2 linked regions of the Elephas maximus indicus genome follow. The protein of the gene in region 2 interacts with the protein of the main gene of each other region in a pairwise test. Links are inferred from orthologs where the notes say so. Each region holds a gene or a part of one and is shown on either strand. Other genes may lie near its edges.

What was found. The genes of interacting proteins can lie anywhere in the genome.
Region 1: the proteins of CASP10 (region 2) and RIOK3 interact in binary tests that used the Homo sapiens proteins (3 or more experiments, as listed by UniProt). The link is inferred for Elephas maximus indicus from reciprocal best matches to the Homo sapiens genes CASP10 and RIOK3.

The regions. Positions count from the first base shown.
Region 1 is NC_064829.1:29,626,233-29,634,001, reverse strand, and holds the start of RIOK3 (serine/threonine-protein kinase RIO3), read right to left. Parts: upstream 3,154-7,769; 5' UTR 2,992-3,153; coding exon 2,947-2,991; intron 1-2,946.
Region 2 is NC_064824.1:99,904,608-99,912,380, reverse strand, and holds the start of CASP10 (caspase-10), read right to left. Parts: upstream 3,298-7,773; 5' UTR 2,730-3,297; intron 424-2,729; 5' UTR 297-423; coding exon 1-296. UniProt on the Homo sapiens protein: Involved in the activation cascade of caspases responsible for apoptosis execution. Recruited to both Fas- and TNFR-1 receptors in a FADD dependent manner. May participate in the granzyme B apoptotic pathways.

The DNA of each region.
Region 1 (7,769 bases), on a different chromosome or scaffold from region 2:
TTTGTCACAATTCCTGTTGCCTTCGAGTCCATTCCAACTCATAGCGACCCTACTGGACAGAGAACTGCCCCACAGGGTTTCCAAGGAGCAGCTGGTGGATTCGAATTCCGGACCTTTTGGTTAGCAGCTGAGCTCTTAACCACTGCGCCAACAAACCAATATTGATAAGTTATTATTAACTCAAGTCCATACTTTATTCAGATTTCCTCAAACTTTCACTTCATATTCTTTTTGTCCTAGGATCCTATTCAGGATCCACATCAAATTTAGTTTCACGTCTCCTTAGGCTCCTCTTGGCTGTGAGTTTCTCAGACTTTCCTTGTTTTTGATGACCTTGACAGTTTTGAGGAGCCCCAGTGTTGCAGTGATTGTACTGCTCAGCTGCTAACCAAAAAGGTCAGTGTTTCGAATCTACCTGCTACTTCACAGAAGAAAGCTGTGACAGTCAGCTTCTGTAAAGATTTACATCCTTGGAAACCCTATGGGGCAGTTCTACTTCGTCCTACAGGGTTGCTATGAGTCGGAATTGACTGGAAGGCAACAGTAATTGTGACAAATGGGTTTGGTTTTTGGCTTGACAAATTTTGAGGACCACCATGAATTCATTTTTACAGCTCCCTTTCCAAGAAACCTCCTCACTTTTGCCTACAGTTTACCAATCCTTCTATGAAGACTATAAACTCTTTGCCCATAATTGCAGTTCTGCATTTTGTAACTTGCACCCTGGGACCCTGGAGTGGGGAGGTCTCCAAAAACCTGTAAAGGAGTCTTTGAGTTCAAAATTATTTTCATAATAATACTAAGACATTATCTGCCTTTTCCACTCTTATTCTCTCAAGAGAATAGAATGGAGTTTTCCAGAGACTTCATACCATGTGATGACATCATCGCTCTGATGATGAATAGAATGTATGTTTATATATTCTTGTGTTTTCTAAAAATTTCTAAGGTAGTAGGTTTAGGATACAAATGTGTACATTTTTGGAGATTAACTCAGTTTGTTCTCAGTCCTTCTACCATGCTCTCACTACCCATTTTAAATTATACCTGCTATAATCTACATATCTGTGTAGATGGATTTTCTTCATACTGCAACCAGACAAGAAACAGGTGTCTCCTATTAAACCCACTGCTGTCAAGTCATTCTGACTCATAGCAACCCTACAGGACAGAGCAGGACTACCCCAGGGGGTTTCCAAGGAGCAGCTGGTGGATTTGAACTGTCAACCTTTTGGTTAGCAGCCGTAGCTCTTAACAACTTCACCACCAGGGTTTCGTCTTCTATTAAGCCAGAGGTTAAGGAGATTTGCAAAAATGTAAAACAATACTACTCTCTTCACTGATTTTTGTTTGTTTTGGAAAATAAACTTTTTTCCATAAAAATGTTTATGTTAGCATATAATGACTTTAATATGGCAAATATATTTTAAATTTCTCAGTTTTAATTTTTAACAATAAATATCAATAGATTAATAGACGTAACCTTCATACACAAAAGTGCTCCTCAATAATTTTTAAGCATATAGAGGTTCCAAGCCCAAAATATTTGTGCATCACTGACCTATAACATTTTTTCCATTTTTTCAAAATCCTTCTCAAATCTCCAGCTCCTCCATGAAGGCTTCTCTAGTCACTGCTGTCTTCCATGAGGTCAAAGAATAAAGGATTAAGTGGTACTTGTGGTCTCTAACTGTTTTGCCTGTCAAAATGTTTTTTGACATCAATATACCCGGGGTCATTTTTGACTGAATGACTAAAATGGAAATTTAAGGCTCTGATGGTGTGAATTAGATTGGGATATTACTGATAATATTTTATTAGTAAATTAGTTTTGTAAGTGAAATTTGCTGAGGTTAGAATGTATTCTGAGCAGAGCTGGTCTCATGTGGCATCTTTCCCAGCTTTCATAGATGTTTAAAGGAATTTAACGTGAAGACTATGTTTTTCCTAGTATCAGTAATGTCTACTGATCTTGACTTTTTAAATAGGATCTTAGAAGAAAATACACGCAAAATCACAGGTAAACAAATTTGCCAGTGGGTTACCTTATATTCTCCCTACAGTTTTAAGACAAGTTTAATAAAATTAATTTTCTTTCACTTATTCGCTAATCATTTTCCCATTTTCTGTTAAGATGTAGGCTGAAGATCCAACAAGATTAACAGGTGACCCTTTAAAAGGAACAAAGGTTGTGTTAACATATAAAGAACAATTATGAAGCTAAAAAAATATAATTCCTTCACAAACTTAAGTAACACTTTATTAAAGTGCCCTTGCTCTCACACAAACTCAGTAAAGCGGCAGAGGAGTCTTTTCATCCTTCTAAAAAGTATCGTGAAAAAAGAGGAGCCTGAAATCAATTGCGAAACAAACGTTTTTAAGTTTGCCATTACGGGAGAAAGTTTAAACATTAAATCACAGGCAGGTAATGTGAATTCAGAACCGTTCTGAGTTATTAGCGACAGGAGAGGGAGGGTGTGCCTGGTTTTATCTTTCACTACTTCAAAAACAAGAAAATATCGAACTAGGATAACCATACTTGTCAACTTAAGGCAACAACTTCCTAAACCAACTTTCTGTGTACCGCTGGGTTTGACTCACTTGGCCCGTGAAAAACAAGGTCAGGCCTGTTTTCCCTCTAACATAAACATCTGTAAGCGCGTCCTACTCCATATGTTTTACAGAGATTCAGAAAGCAAGGTGTAGAACCGAAAGAGATCGAAAACGTCCCGAGTGGCCTTTGGAGCGGTAGAGGCCCTGCCCCACTCTGCCCAGCCGCCCGCAGCAGCCCTGCGGCCGGCTCGCCACTTTCCGTGATGGCCAGGGTCCCGCCCTGGAACCTTCCCAGACGCTCAAGGAGCCGCCTTCGCGCCCGCTGGCCCCTCCAGGCCTTCAGAGAAAGAAGCAGCCCGGGTGACAGGTAGGTCAGGCCCGGCCGCCACTCACCGCTGCCGGCCGGGGTTCAGGAGACGCCACTCCAACTAAATCCATGTGGGGGAAGAAGCCAGCGACAAGAACAGGGTAGAGTCGGGGCAGGACCGGGAAGCGGGCTCCGCCGAAGGGGAGACAGGCAAAGGGTAAGGGGGGAAAGGCAGCTGGTGCCGGAGCGGAGGTGACAGATGGCGCCGACGGCGGCCGCGTCCGGAACTAACCTCTTCTCTTCCGCCCTCACGGTTGGGGCAATCACTTCCGATTGGCCGCCCGGCCCTCGCTAAGTCACCTTTCCCCGCCCCCGGGCGGGCTGCACTTCCGGCCGCTGGCCGTTGGGATTCCGAGTGCAAGGTCCAGGTGGCCAGGCTTGGAGTCGTGGTCGCTGGTGCAGGGCAGGGCAGGGGCCGGGTGTGACGTCCCTTGTCCAAGGACCTTCCTTATCTCCGCACCGCCTTCCTCATTCTTCCTCCCCAACAGCCCTTAGCACTGGATCTAGTCAAACTAGGCTAGACTGTGTGGATTATAAAGAAACGAGGCTTTGTTCATTCATTCTTTCCCCAGTGAAATCTAAACTGAGAAGGTAACAGACGGAAAATAGCAAGTTCAGAGAAAGGAAAGACACTGAAAAAGACAGTCGGTTTTTGTTGCTATTGCAGTTGTTTGGGGGCGGGGCGGTGAGCGTGAAAATTTGTAAAACAACATTGAGCAAAAATCAGTCTGTATAGTAAAAGTTTTGGTTCAGTATTTTGTAGGGAGATTCTTAAAAAGTGACTGTGTAAAAATAACTAAGCCTTACATTTCACTTACTGTGTTTCAGGCATTGTTCAAATTAACTCGTTTAATCCTGAGAATAACCCTAAGGAACAAGTTCTATCATTATCGTCATTTTACTCATGATGAAACTGAAGCACAGAGAGGTAAAGTAACTTGCCCAAGGTCATCCAGCTAATAAATGACAAAGCTAGTAAGTGTCGAACGAACACACGCATTCCGGCTCCAAGCACTGGTGAGACAGGCAGCCTCAGAATCCAACCCTTCTGAGAGACACCTGCTCTGGCTTATCCTCTTACATGGAGCAAAATGGGCTCCACATTCTTCTGAAATCGACCTTGACAAGATAACCATAGATGGCCTCAACCTACCTCTGGGTGGAGACTTAATATCATAATAAAGAAAAATCAACCTCTTCCTCCAGCGTGGAGAATGGAACCCTTGACTAAAGAAAATGCATAGTCATCCCCAAGCCCTGAGTGCCTGCATAAATGTCAATCCTGAATATTCATGATAAATTTATATTTCCTTGTCTGCTCTCTGATAAAGCCCACCTCCCCAACTTGCCTCTGAGCAGTATTGGAGGTAACAACCCCAATTGCTCCTTTCCTTGTACAATGAAATAAAGGCATCTTTCTAATCTCCCACCTCGGCCTCTTGTTTATTGGCTGTAACAAGCCACACCAAGCAAAACCTGGGGTTTTCACCTGTCAACACTGGCTCTGTAGTGCCTGTATGCAAACCATCCAGACTATTAAAACAAAAAGTCATATTAAGCCAATAATAGAAATTGATTGAAGTTTATTTAATATACGATTTGCAAATCAGGGTAACATTTTGACTAGAGAATCAAAAATGTTCCGAAGATGAGAGAACCTCGAAACACTCTTATATCAAATCTTAACAATATCCCTGTAGAAAAAAAGGGTCAGAACAGAACTGATAAACAAATTTTTGGTCAGTAAGGGTTTTCATACAGCATTGTTTTCAAGAATGTGTAGAAGCCCCCAACAGAGGCACTTGACCCCAGTAAAATGGCTAGTCTGGGTCTGAACTCCATATCAATGCTTGCTAACTTCTCTTCATTCAGTGACCTTTGTACAGACTTAAAAAAGCCTGTAACTAAGAAACATTTTCCTTCTTTGTGGTTAAGCCAGGGATAAGGGAAGAGTATTCCTGCAAGAGTCCTGATGTCCTTAAGCTGATCAGACGTGTCCAGAGCTGACTACCCACAAGAAATATATTGTTCCCCTACCTATTTTTTAAACCAAATGTCCTTGGGAAGAAATACTTTATAATCATCTTGCGGCCATCTATACACCCCTATATTTACTACTGCAATTATCCTGTGTAACCAACCACCTCAGGTTCCCAGCTTCGGGATATCCTGCCTCTGACTACCTTACCTCAGCAAGCACCAATCATAGATTTTGCACCATTATTTCCTGATTATACCACATATATTTACCCTTTTTCCCCTCCCCTTCTTGGGAGTATTTATTTCACTTTGTGAGATCATAGGTTTCCCCAGTTTGTACTGTTTTCAAATCTTCCATAAATCTCCTTGCTTTCACTTCAATAGAGTATGTGTTCGTTATTTTTGGACAAGAACAATTAAAATAATTACTGATTTACCCTAAACATAGCTCCCATTCTGACTCTTGGAGTCTGTTTCCAGAAACTGATTGAATTCTTCAAAAGAGCACAATGCCTACAACAAAACTATCTTATTAGTTTACCTAGACCATTGTTTGACTCATAAGGCAACCCCCAGGAACCAGTTTCTCCAAGGCCCAAGCTTCAAAAGGACACCCAAGGGCAAATGGCCTAGGTGGGTCACCCCAACTGCATGGACCCAAAAATCTGGATTCCAGGAAAGTTAAAACAGTTTCACAAGACGTTCTAGAAATGCACACTGAATAACACCGTTTTCCCTAAATGGCAGTCCTGAGCCAGGATCCCTAACTGTCCATACTTGAGATTCCTGGGATAATGACCTTGGTTTCCATTAGCACACGGTCCTTATCCTCTTTCCATCCCAGGTCAGAACATGTTCTGAATCCTCTAAATAATCCAAACTAAAATCAGGCAAAACTATAAACTATATATGGGATAAAGACCTGTGCTTGACAAATGTCCATACTGCAGATATGTGTGGAAATCGTGTTCCCCCTTAGTATTCAAATGATAAATTATTGAGATACATGTGACCCTAATACTTTGCAACATGTTTTCTCCTATTCAAAATGGGCGATTGAGAGCTAGACATAACTAACACCATAATGATGCTCTAAGTAATTTCTAAACATTTTTTATTGCACCAGCAGCGCTGGTCTCTTCCAAAGGGGTGAGGAGCTCTCTCCGCTCTTGGGGCCTTGGTCTCTCTCCTCTTCTTTGTTCTCTTGAGAAACAGCCTTCTGCCTGTAAGACAGCAGCAAGGAAGGCTGCCTGGGGCTTTTGATCTGCAACTTTCTTTCTTGTACCTCATCTAGTCAGAGTGGACTTGGCCAGTTCCACTAGCCGAGAGATTCTTATGCAAGTTTTTCCAGCCTGTTACAAACATACAGATTAGAGTCCACATGTCCAACATGCATATCTTTAGTTTAATGAAGAGTTTTTTGTAGTTGTTTTGTGCTGTATATGACCATCTGTGGGCTATGTGCTTAAAAACATTAAGTAATCCTTGCCAAAATAATATATAAGCTCTAAATTGCTCTTCAGGACTCCATGGAGACTGCCGGGTCCCCGATCACGTATACATCTCCTGAATAAACTTTCTCACTCTTTCTGACTTGGAGCACATTTCATTGGCTCAACTGCTCTGGGGCACGGAACCCAATGGGGTAACATACGTATGTAGTTGAAGAAAAATGGGTAGAACCAGAAATTAAATGGACCTCATGACTTTAGATAAAAGGAGATAAGACGAGAGGATGACCTAGACAAGTTATTGGAACCTTCTAATAAATTAGCCAAGAGTTTCAAAAGAAAAAATAAAAAAGGAAGCGAGTAGGTCAGAAGGAAAGGCTTAGTTACAGTGTGTGACAAGAATGTGCGACTGAGGGATCAGAAGTTGAAAGTAGAAGGATCTGGATATTCTTTTTAGATCATTTATTCAATGAATTTTTACTGAGTGTTTTCTAAAATGACTAGCATTGGGGTGACAAATCTGAATAAAAACAGGTACCTGTCCTCGTGGACCTTGAAGTCGTAAACATGCAAGTAGTAATTAAGTGCTAAAGATACTATCATAGAAGCATGTGCAGGACCCAGTAGAATGTAAGGTAGGGAGACATCAGCTCTACCAAATTTTCGGGAAAGGCTCATTAGAGTAGGAGACACTTGAGCTGAGTCTTGCAAAGTGATCAGGAATCAGACAGGTTGTAAGGGAAGTGGGGGCTTCCACCAGAGGGCGGCTGTATACGTACAGCATGTATTGGAAAAGGGCAAGTGGTTTGGCATGGCCAGACCTAGGGTTCAACAGGGGAGCAAAATACAAGATTGGGTTGCAGAATGTAGGCAAGCCCAGGACCAAGGACTCCAGAGTTTAGACCATAAGGAGTCATTAAACGAGGACAATCGTATCTTCAGATTTGCTTATTAGAAAGAGAATTCTGACAGCTGTGAAGGGTAGACTGGAGAGTTGTGAGGCTGGAGACTGGAAAACCTCTCTGTTCACTGAGGATGAGAGTCACCTGGACATCTGTTGTTCATGGGCACATCTTTAAATGTGTTAATACCTTCAGTCTAATTTCAGGTCTCAGAAACTTTTTTTTTTTTCTTTAAGGCGACTTCGAATATTCCAATGTTGCTTTCATTTCTCTTCCAAAATTTTGTTTTTGTGTTTTGGTTTCTGGTGTTGGACAGTGCTGGGTGTGGGCAGGGTGGCATGGGAGGTGAGGCATCTAAGTGGAGGTCCTGGAGTCTAAGATGACTTCTGCTTTTTTGACTTGGTTGACTGGATGAATGGTGGTGCCTGAAGCCTTGATTGGAGAGAGGATAATAAAGTTAATTTTGGACATGCTACATTTTTCTATATAGCACTTATCAAAATTTGTAAATACACA
Region 2 (7,773 bases):
TTGCTGTACCGGAGGTGCCGCAGCAGTGACTTCTGCCTGATGATGAAGAGGAGCTCCGCCAGGAGGAAAGGGTCTTCCTCACTCAGCTGCTCCTCTGCCAGGAGCTGCTCAAAAATCTCCAAGGCTGAGCCGGACTTCTCCAGCTTCTTGGGGGAGAGCCAGTCTCGGCAGAGAAACTTTAGGGCCTCCACATCTTTGGCCCCCAGGCATTCATTAATCTTCAGAAGCTTCCGGCGAAAATCCATCCTACGATTTTCCTCCAAACTGGTATCCAGACCTTGACCTTGAGATGTCATAGCCAGCTTGGGAAAGACAGAACTGGAGCAAGGAGTTCTAGAGTGAGGACACACGGCACCCCAACTCCCTAGCCCCTCCTCCAATCCTGGCTACCTCTGTTCCTGGCATTAGACTTTACTGGAAGTGCTAAAAAAGAAAAAAAGAAATTCCTGCAAGGTTACTTAAAATACCAACAGCCTAGAAAATTCCACCCCAACACAATTGGTATGTTACTCTTCAGGAGGTGGGGAGGGAGTTTTTATCAGAATTCAATTTACCCTGATTTCTCCCAAATAAAATGTCCCCTGTGGTACTAGTCAAGAAGGAAGAGGACAGAGTCTGATATCGCTGAGGCCTGGTAGTCCGGCTGGAGCTCACAGGCCCAAATTCATTTCTGCCTAATAGCAGGAATAATGTTTGGATTTATGTTTTAAATTTTAGAAATAAGGCAACATGGAGGTTTATTCTTCTGAAGCATCAACCAACCCGAAGATAATGAGGGACCCTGAGGGCTATTCGTTACATCTTTAACTTTAAATGGCTAACCATGAGCAGGTCTTTATGTCACAGACACAGAAGCCATAATTGCAGACCCCAAAAGGAAAGGGTAGTTTTAGACAAAGTTGCTCAGATCAGTGCAGGAAGTTACAAATTACCCATCAGTGTTTCCACCTGACCCGTTAATAAACTATGGTCTTCCCTAAAAAAAAAAAAAAATTCATTAAAAAAAAATTTTTTTTATTTTTGTTATTGTGGAGAATATACACAGCAAAACATGCAATTTCTACATGTGCCAATTCAATAGTGCCAATCCAACAGTTTCTACATGTACAATTGTAAAATGGTGGAGTCACACCTTCTCTTCTAACTTGGGGGGAGGGACGGGAAGAATCAAGACCAGCACCATCAGCCCAAAGCTTGATTCCTGTGAGGTACAGGTGGGACATACTTCACCTTCCAACCCTTGTTATCAACTCTGACACCAGCCGTCCCTCCCACTCCCACGACACTCTTTTCTTCTTGCCTGCATTTGATAATTTGTTGCAAAGGCCACACAGAACTCACAGACCATACTCACAATTATGGACTTTATCAGGGAAGTAGCAAGTTACAATTGAAGATCGGTAAATTTTTTTTTTTAATAATATTTTATTGTGTATTAGGTGAAAGTTTACACAGCAAATTCGGTTCCCCTTTAATAAGTTTTATGCAAATTATTCCATGTCATTGGTTACAATTTTTAGAATGTGTCGGCATTCTCATTATCTCCATTTTGTTTGTACTGCTACCATCTATCTAGCTTCCCTTTCCCTCCTTGCCTTCTCGTCTTTGCTTTTGGGTATCTACACTAAATTTTGTTCTAATTAGAGGAACAATGCATCGATAAAACTTTTCACTGTAATGTTATTCATTCCATAAGGCCTTGAGGTATATATTCACTGTGCATGACTTGGCTGTTTTTAGAAACAGGAAATTACTTTCGAAAGGAAGAACATGGCAGAAACAAAACATCGATAGCAAGAATAGCTAGGTGGTTAAAAAAAAAAACCTAGGTGGTTTAACTACAAACAAAAACCGAACCAAACCCATTCCGGTGAAGTTGACTCTGACTCACAGCAACCCTGTAGGACAGAGTAAAACTACCCCATAGGGTTTCCAAGGCTGTAAATCTTTACAGAAGCAGGCTGCCACATCTTTCTCCCCTGGAGCAGCTGATGAGTTCAAACCGCCCACCTTTCAGCAGCTGAGCACTTAACCACTGTACCACCAGGGCTCCTCCTTGGTATAACTGTCCAAAAACCAAACCAAACCCACTGCCATCCAGTCGATTCCAACTCATAGTGACCCTATAGGACAGAGTACAGCTGTTCCACAGGGTTTCCAAGAATGGCCGGTGGATTCAAGCCGCCGACATTTTGGTTAGCAGCTGATCTCTTAACCACTGCACCACCAGGGCTCCAGTATAAATATTAAAAAAAAAATAAAATAAAAAATAAAAAAAAATTTTTTTTAACATAAATTTTCTTCTTGGCTTCCACTCAAATTTTGTGCAATGAACAGTTATTACTTTTGTTGTGGGGGGGGAGCTATTTTTTGTGGGATTATCATGGGTTCTTCCCTTCAAGTATCCCTGAGGTCAAATGATTGGTTTCTTGCAGACATTTTCCTATTCTAATAAGTAGTACATTGTATTTTCCTGAAGATTCTGACCCTTAGCTTTACTGAGTTGGCCAAACTTTGTGGACTAGCATATTCCTGACAATAAAAAGCTGTGTTGGAGCCCCCCTGTTTTTTTTCTTTTTTTACTTTTACTTTCTTTTTCCCTGGCACGGCAGATAAAACCAGGCAGAAACAATGCCATTGCTGGCAACTAGCTTTTGCAAGTTTCTATGACGTGAAGCAAAGGAAAAGGCTGGGGTGTGAGACCCAAGCGAGGAAAAGATATTACATACCTTTAGATCAAGTCTCACCGATCCTCTGGAGGTTGATAGCACTCAGGGAAATTGGAATTCAGGTCCTCCATGTGTTTCCAGTTTCCAGGAAGCTCCCATTTGCGCGGGAAGAGCACTCAAAACTTGTTGGCTGAGCAAGTGAAAACTGGATCCTCTGGCTTTTGTAACTTGATATTAATTTCCTGCTGATGTCATCATCTCCTGTCTGCCATTTCTCCTCCCCTTTCCTTTTTTTTTTTTTCCCAGCGTTAAGATAACCCTGACAAACAGCAGCTCCTAAAGGCAAATTCACAAGTTTCTTTCCCATGTAGAGCTCAGGATTTTCCCAGGTAAAGCAAAAATCCGTTGCCCTGGAGTCAATTCCAATGTATAGCAACCCTATAAAACAGAGTAGAACCACCCCATAGAGTCTTCTAGACTGCAATCTTTAGAGAAGCAGATTGCCACATCTTTCTCCCATAGAGCAGGTGGTGGTTTCCAACTGCCAATCTTTCAGTTAGCAGCTAGGCACTTAACTGCTGTGCCACCAGGTCTCCTTAGGTAAAGCAAAAGGCTTCCAGAAATGAACTCTTGGTAGCCACTAAGTGCTGCAGCCTTTCCTGTGAGTTCCAGCTCCCTCCTTCCTCAAACTCACTTAACCTTTAAAGTAAAACCCAAAAAGCTAATGAAATGGTAGTCATCTTAATCCTTTTTCAAGGATTAAGGATTCAAACCCAAAGTTCACGTGTAGATAAGCAAATAAAAACAATTTTTAAACAAAAAAGGGGGGTTGGTCTATAAGCCTATTTGGAGGTATTGCAAAAGGCTCAAATAATCAATTAATAGTAAACAAAACTGAAGCAGTCTGCCCTTACTGTGCATTCAGTTCAGCAGGAAAGACAGACTTTGAAGAAATTATTTCTAATAATAATTATATCACACATACTATATGCTGGGGACAAGTATTTAAAATATTTTCCCATTTAATAATCCCAACAACCCTATAAAGGTTTAATATCACTATGACCCCTGCTTTAAAATGTGGAAACTGAAGCACAGAGATGTTAGGTAATTTGCCCAAAGTCACACAGCTACCTAGTGGCACAGCCAAGATTTGAAGCAGGAAGTTTGACTTCTAAGTCCGTGCTCTTAGTCACTATACTGTAATTAAGCTAATTCAAATGTGCAGAGCTCCAGGAAGAAGTACAGAATCTTAGAAAGATGTTTTATATCTGAAAAAAGCAAGATTTATCATGCTTTTGTTAACAAACATGCTAAAGTGCATTTCTATATCCTAGGCATCCTCCCCCCACACATCTGTCAGTTTGTCATACTGTAGGGTCTTGTGTTGCTGTGTTGTGGGAAGCAATGCCACCGTTATTCAAATACAAGCAGGGTCACCCATGGTGAAGAGGTTTCAGCAGGGCTTCCAAACTAAGACTAGAAAGAAGATTCTGTCAGCCTACATATAAAAAGAATTAGCCAGTGAAAACCTTGTGAATTGCAGCAGAACAATGTCTGCTATAGTGGCAGAAGATGAGCCCCTTAGGTTGGAAGGCACTCAAAAGTCGACTGGGAAAGAGCCACCTCCTCAAGTAGAGTCGGCCTTAATGTTGTGGTTGGAATCAAGCTTTTGGAACCTTCATTTGCTGATGTGGCATGATTCAAAATGAGAAGAAATGGCTGCAAACACCCATTTAATAATCAGAACGTGGAATGCATGAAGTATGAATCTAGGAAAACTGAAAGTTGTCAAAAATGAAATGGAACACATAAACATTAATATCCTAGCCATTAGTAAGCTGCAATGGGCTGGTATTGGTCATTTTGAATTGAAAAATCATATGGTCTACTATGCCAGGGATGACAACTTGAAGAGGAATGGTGTTGCATTCATCATCAAAAAGAACGTTTCAAGATCTATTCTGAAGTACAATGCTGTTAGTGATAGGATAATATCCACACACCTATAAGGAAGACCAGTTAATATGACTATTATTCAAATTTATACACCAACTACTAAGGCCAAAGATGAAGAAATTGAAGATTTTTACGAACTTCTGGAGTCTGAAATTGATCGAATATGTAATCGGTATGCATTGATAACGACTGGGGACTGAAATACAAAAGTTGGAAACAAAGAAGAAGGATCAGTAATTGGAAAATACGGCCTTGGTGATAGAAATGATGCCAGAAATCGCATGACAGAATTTTGCAAGACCAACAACTTCTTCATTGCAAAATATCTTTTTTCACCAACATAAATGGTGACTACACATGTGGACATCGCCATATAGAATACACAGGAATAAAATCAACTACAGCTGTGGACAAAGTAGAAAAGCTCAATATCATCAGTCAGAACAAGGCCAGGGACAGACTTCAGAACAGACCATCAATTGCTCATATGCAAGTTCAAGTTGAAGTTGAAGAAAATTAGAACAAGTCCACAAAAGCCAAAGTATGACCTTGAGTACATCCCACCTGAATTTAAAGACCATCTCAAGAACAGATTTGATGCATTGAACACTAATGATCAAAGACCAAACGAGTTGTGGACTGACATCAAGGACATCATACATGAAGAAATCAAGAGGTCATTAAAAAGACAGGAAAGAAAGAAAAAAACAAAATAGATGTCAGGAGAGACTCCGAAACTTGCTCTTGAAAGTCGAGCAGCTAAAACAAATGGAAGAAATGATGAACTAAAAGAGCTGAAAAGAAGATTTCAAAGGGTGGCTCAAGAAGACAAAGTAAAGCATTATAATGACATGTGCAAAGATCCGAAGTTAGAACACCAAAAAGGAAGAACACCCTCCGCATTTCTTAAGCTGAAAGAACCGAAGAAAAAATTCAAGTCTCAAATTGTAATATTGAAGGATTCTACGGGGAAAATATTAAATGATGCAGGAAGCATCAAAAGAAGATGGAAGGAATACACAGAATCACTATATAGGGATGAATTGGTTGACATTCAACCATTTTAGGAGGTAGCATATTATCAGGAACTGATGGTACAGAAGGAAGAGATAGAAGCTGCACTGAAGGCACTGGTGAAAAACAAGGCTCCAAGCATTGACAGAATACCAAATGAGATGTTTCAACAAATCGATGCAGGGCTGAAGGTGCTCATTTGTCTATGCCTAGAAATTTGGAAGACGGCTACCTGGCCAACCAACTGGAAGACATCCATATTCATGCCTATTCCAAAAAAAGGTGATCCAACCGAATGTGGAAATTATAGAACAATATCATTAATATGGCATACAAGTAAAATTTTGCTAAAGATCATTCAAAAGTGGCTGCAGCAGTATATCGACAGGGAACTGCCAGAAATTCACACCGGATTCAGAAGAAGACGTGGAACCAGGGATATCATTGCTGATATTAGATGGATCCTGGCTGAAAGCAGAGAATACCAGAAATATGTTTACCTGTGTCTTATTGACTACGCAAAGGCATTTTGGACATCAAAGACAATTCTGGTGAGGACTCAGAAGGAAGTGAGAAGGCCTATAACAATGGGGATGGCACAGATGGTGAGAAGCAGCAGCAGAACCAGGAAATTAGCGGGAGTGGTGAGGGAGCTGATCCATAGAGCAAGAGAAATGAGTACCTTTACACAGGAGGCTTCCTGGCTGAGTGGGGTGCCTGCAGATACTTGGAGGAGTTGGCTTGCTAACCCAAGGAGCAAGAGAACTGACTTCTGGGTGAGGTTTACTGGTGAAAGGGGGGTGCCTCAGGCACTTATCAGTAGAGCTAAAGAGCTTTGGAACACTTGCCAGAGCAGGGCAGAATCTGGGCTGGCCTTAGGGGCCCAAGGGGCCAAGAGGCCAAGAAACCAGGAAGCAGAAGATGGAGTGACAAAAAGCATAGGAAGCAGAGCTCTTGTGAGACCTCTGGGGTCTCAAAGGGTTGAGTCATGCCCCTTGGGATTTCAAAGGGTGGGGCCAGGTTTCAAAGAGTCAGATCTTTACCAACTTGGTTGTAGAGTGTGGGGCTGCCTTTTGCACAGCCCAGAGCTGAGGGCGTGGGGCTGCCATGCTCAAGGGGCAGAAGAACAGGGCCTGCTGGGGGGCCAAGGGTGTGGAGTCACCACTCAGATGGACAAGGAGAATGGGGCCAACCAAATGCAAGGGAGCAGAGTTGCTGTTCCAGTGGGCCCAGAAGGCAGAGCTGAAGCCCAGGGCTGAGGGGCTTCCACCCAGGATCCAGAGATTGTGGCCAATACCCAGAGTCTGGAGAGCAGGGCCATTGCCTAAATGGCCTCAGAGAACAGAGGATTATTGAGAGCTAATGTAATGTGTTCTGCTGACTTGCTCCGTGCCTGTTACCCCTTCTTTCCCTCCAATTTCTCCCATTTGTAATGGAAATGTCTACCTTGTGCCTGTTCCACCATTGTACTTTGGAAGCAGATAACTTGTATTCTACATTGCACAGATGAAGATGAATTTTTTCCCAGGAGACTTTGGACTTGGAGTTGATTTAAGATTTTGCTATGATGTGATGGGGTGAATGTGCTTTACATGTGGTAAGGACATGAATTTTGGGGGACCAAAGAGTAGAATGTCATGGATTGGATTGTGTCCCCCAAAAATGTGTGTGAACTTGGCTAGGCCATGATTCTCAGTATTGTTTGGTTGTCTGTTTTGTGATCTGATGTGATCATCCTATATGTTGTAAATCCTGACCTCTATGATGTTAATGAGGAAAGATTAGAGGCAGTTATGTTAATGAGGCAGGACACAATCTACTGGATTTGGCTGTGTTTTGGGTCAATCTCTTTTGGGATATAAAAAAGAGAAGCAAGCAGAGAGGAGAGGGACCTCATACCACCAAGAAAGGAGTGCCAGAAGTGGAGCATGTCCTTTGTACCTGGAGTCCCTGCACTGAGAAACTCCTAGACCAGGGGAGAATAGATGACAATACCTTCCCCCAGAACCGAAAAGAGAGAGAGAAAGACCTCCCCAGGAGCTGGTGCCCTGAATTTGGATTTCCAGCCTCCTAGACTGTGAGAGAATAAATTTCTGTTTATTAAAGCCATCAGCTTGTAGTATTTCTGTTA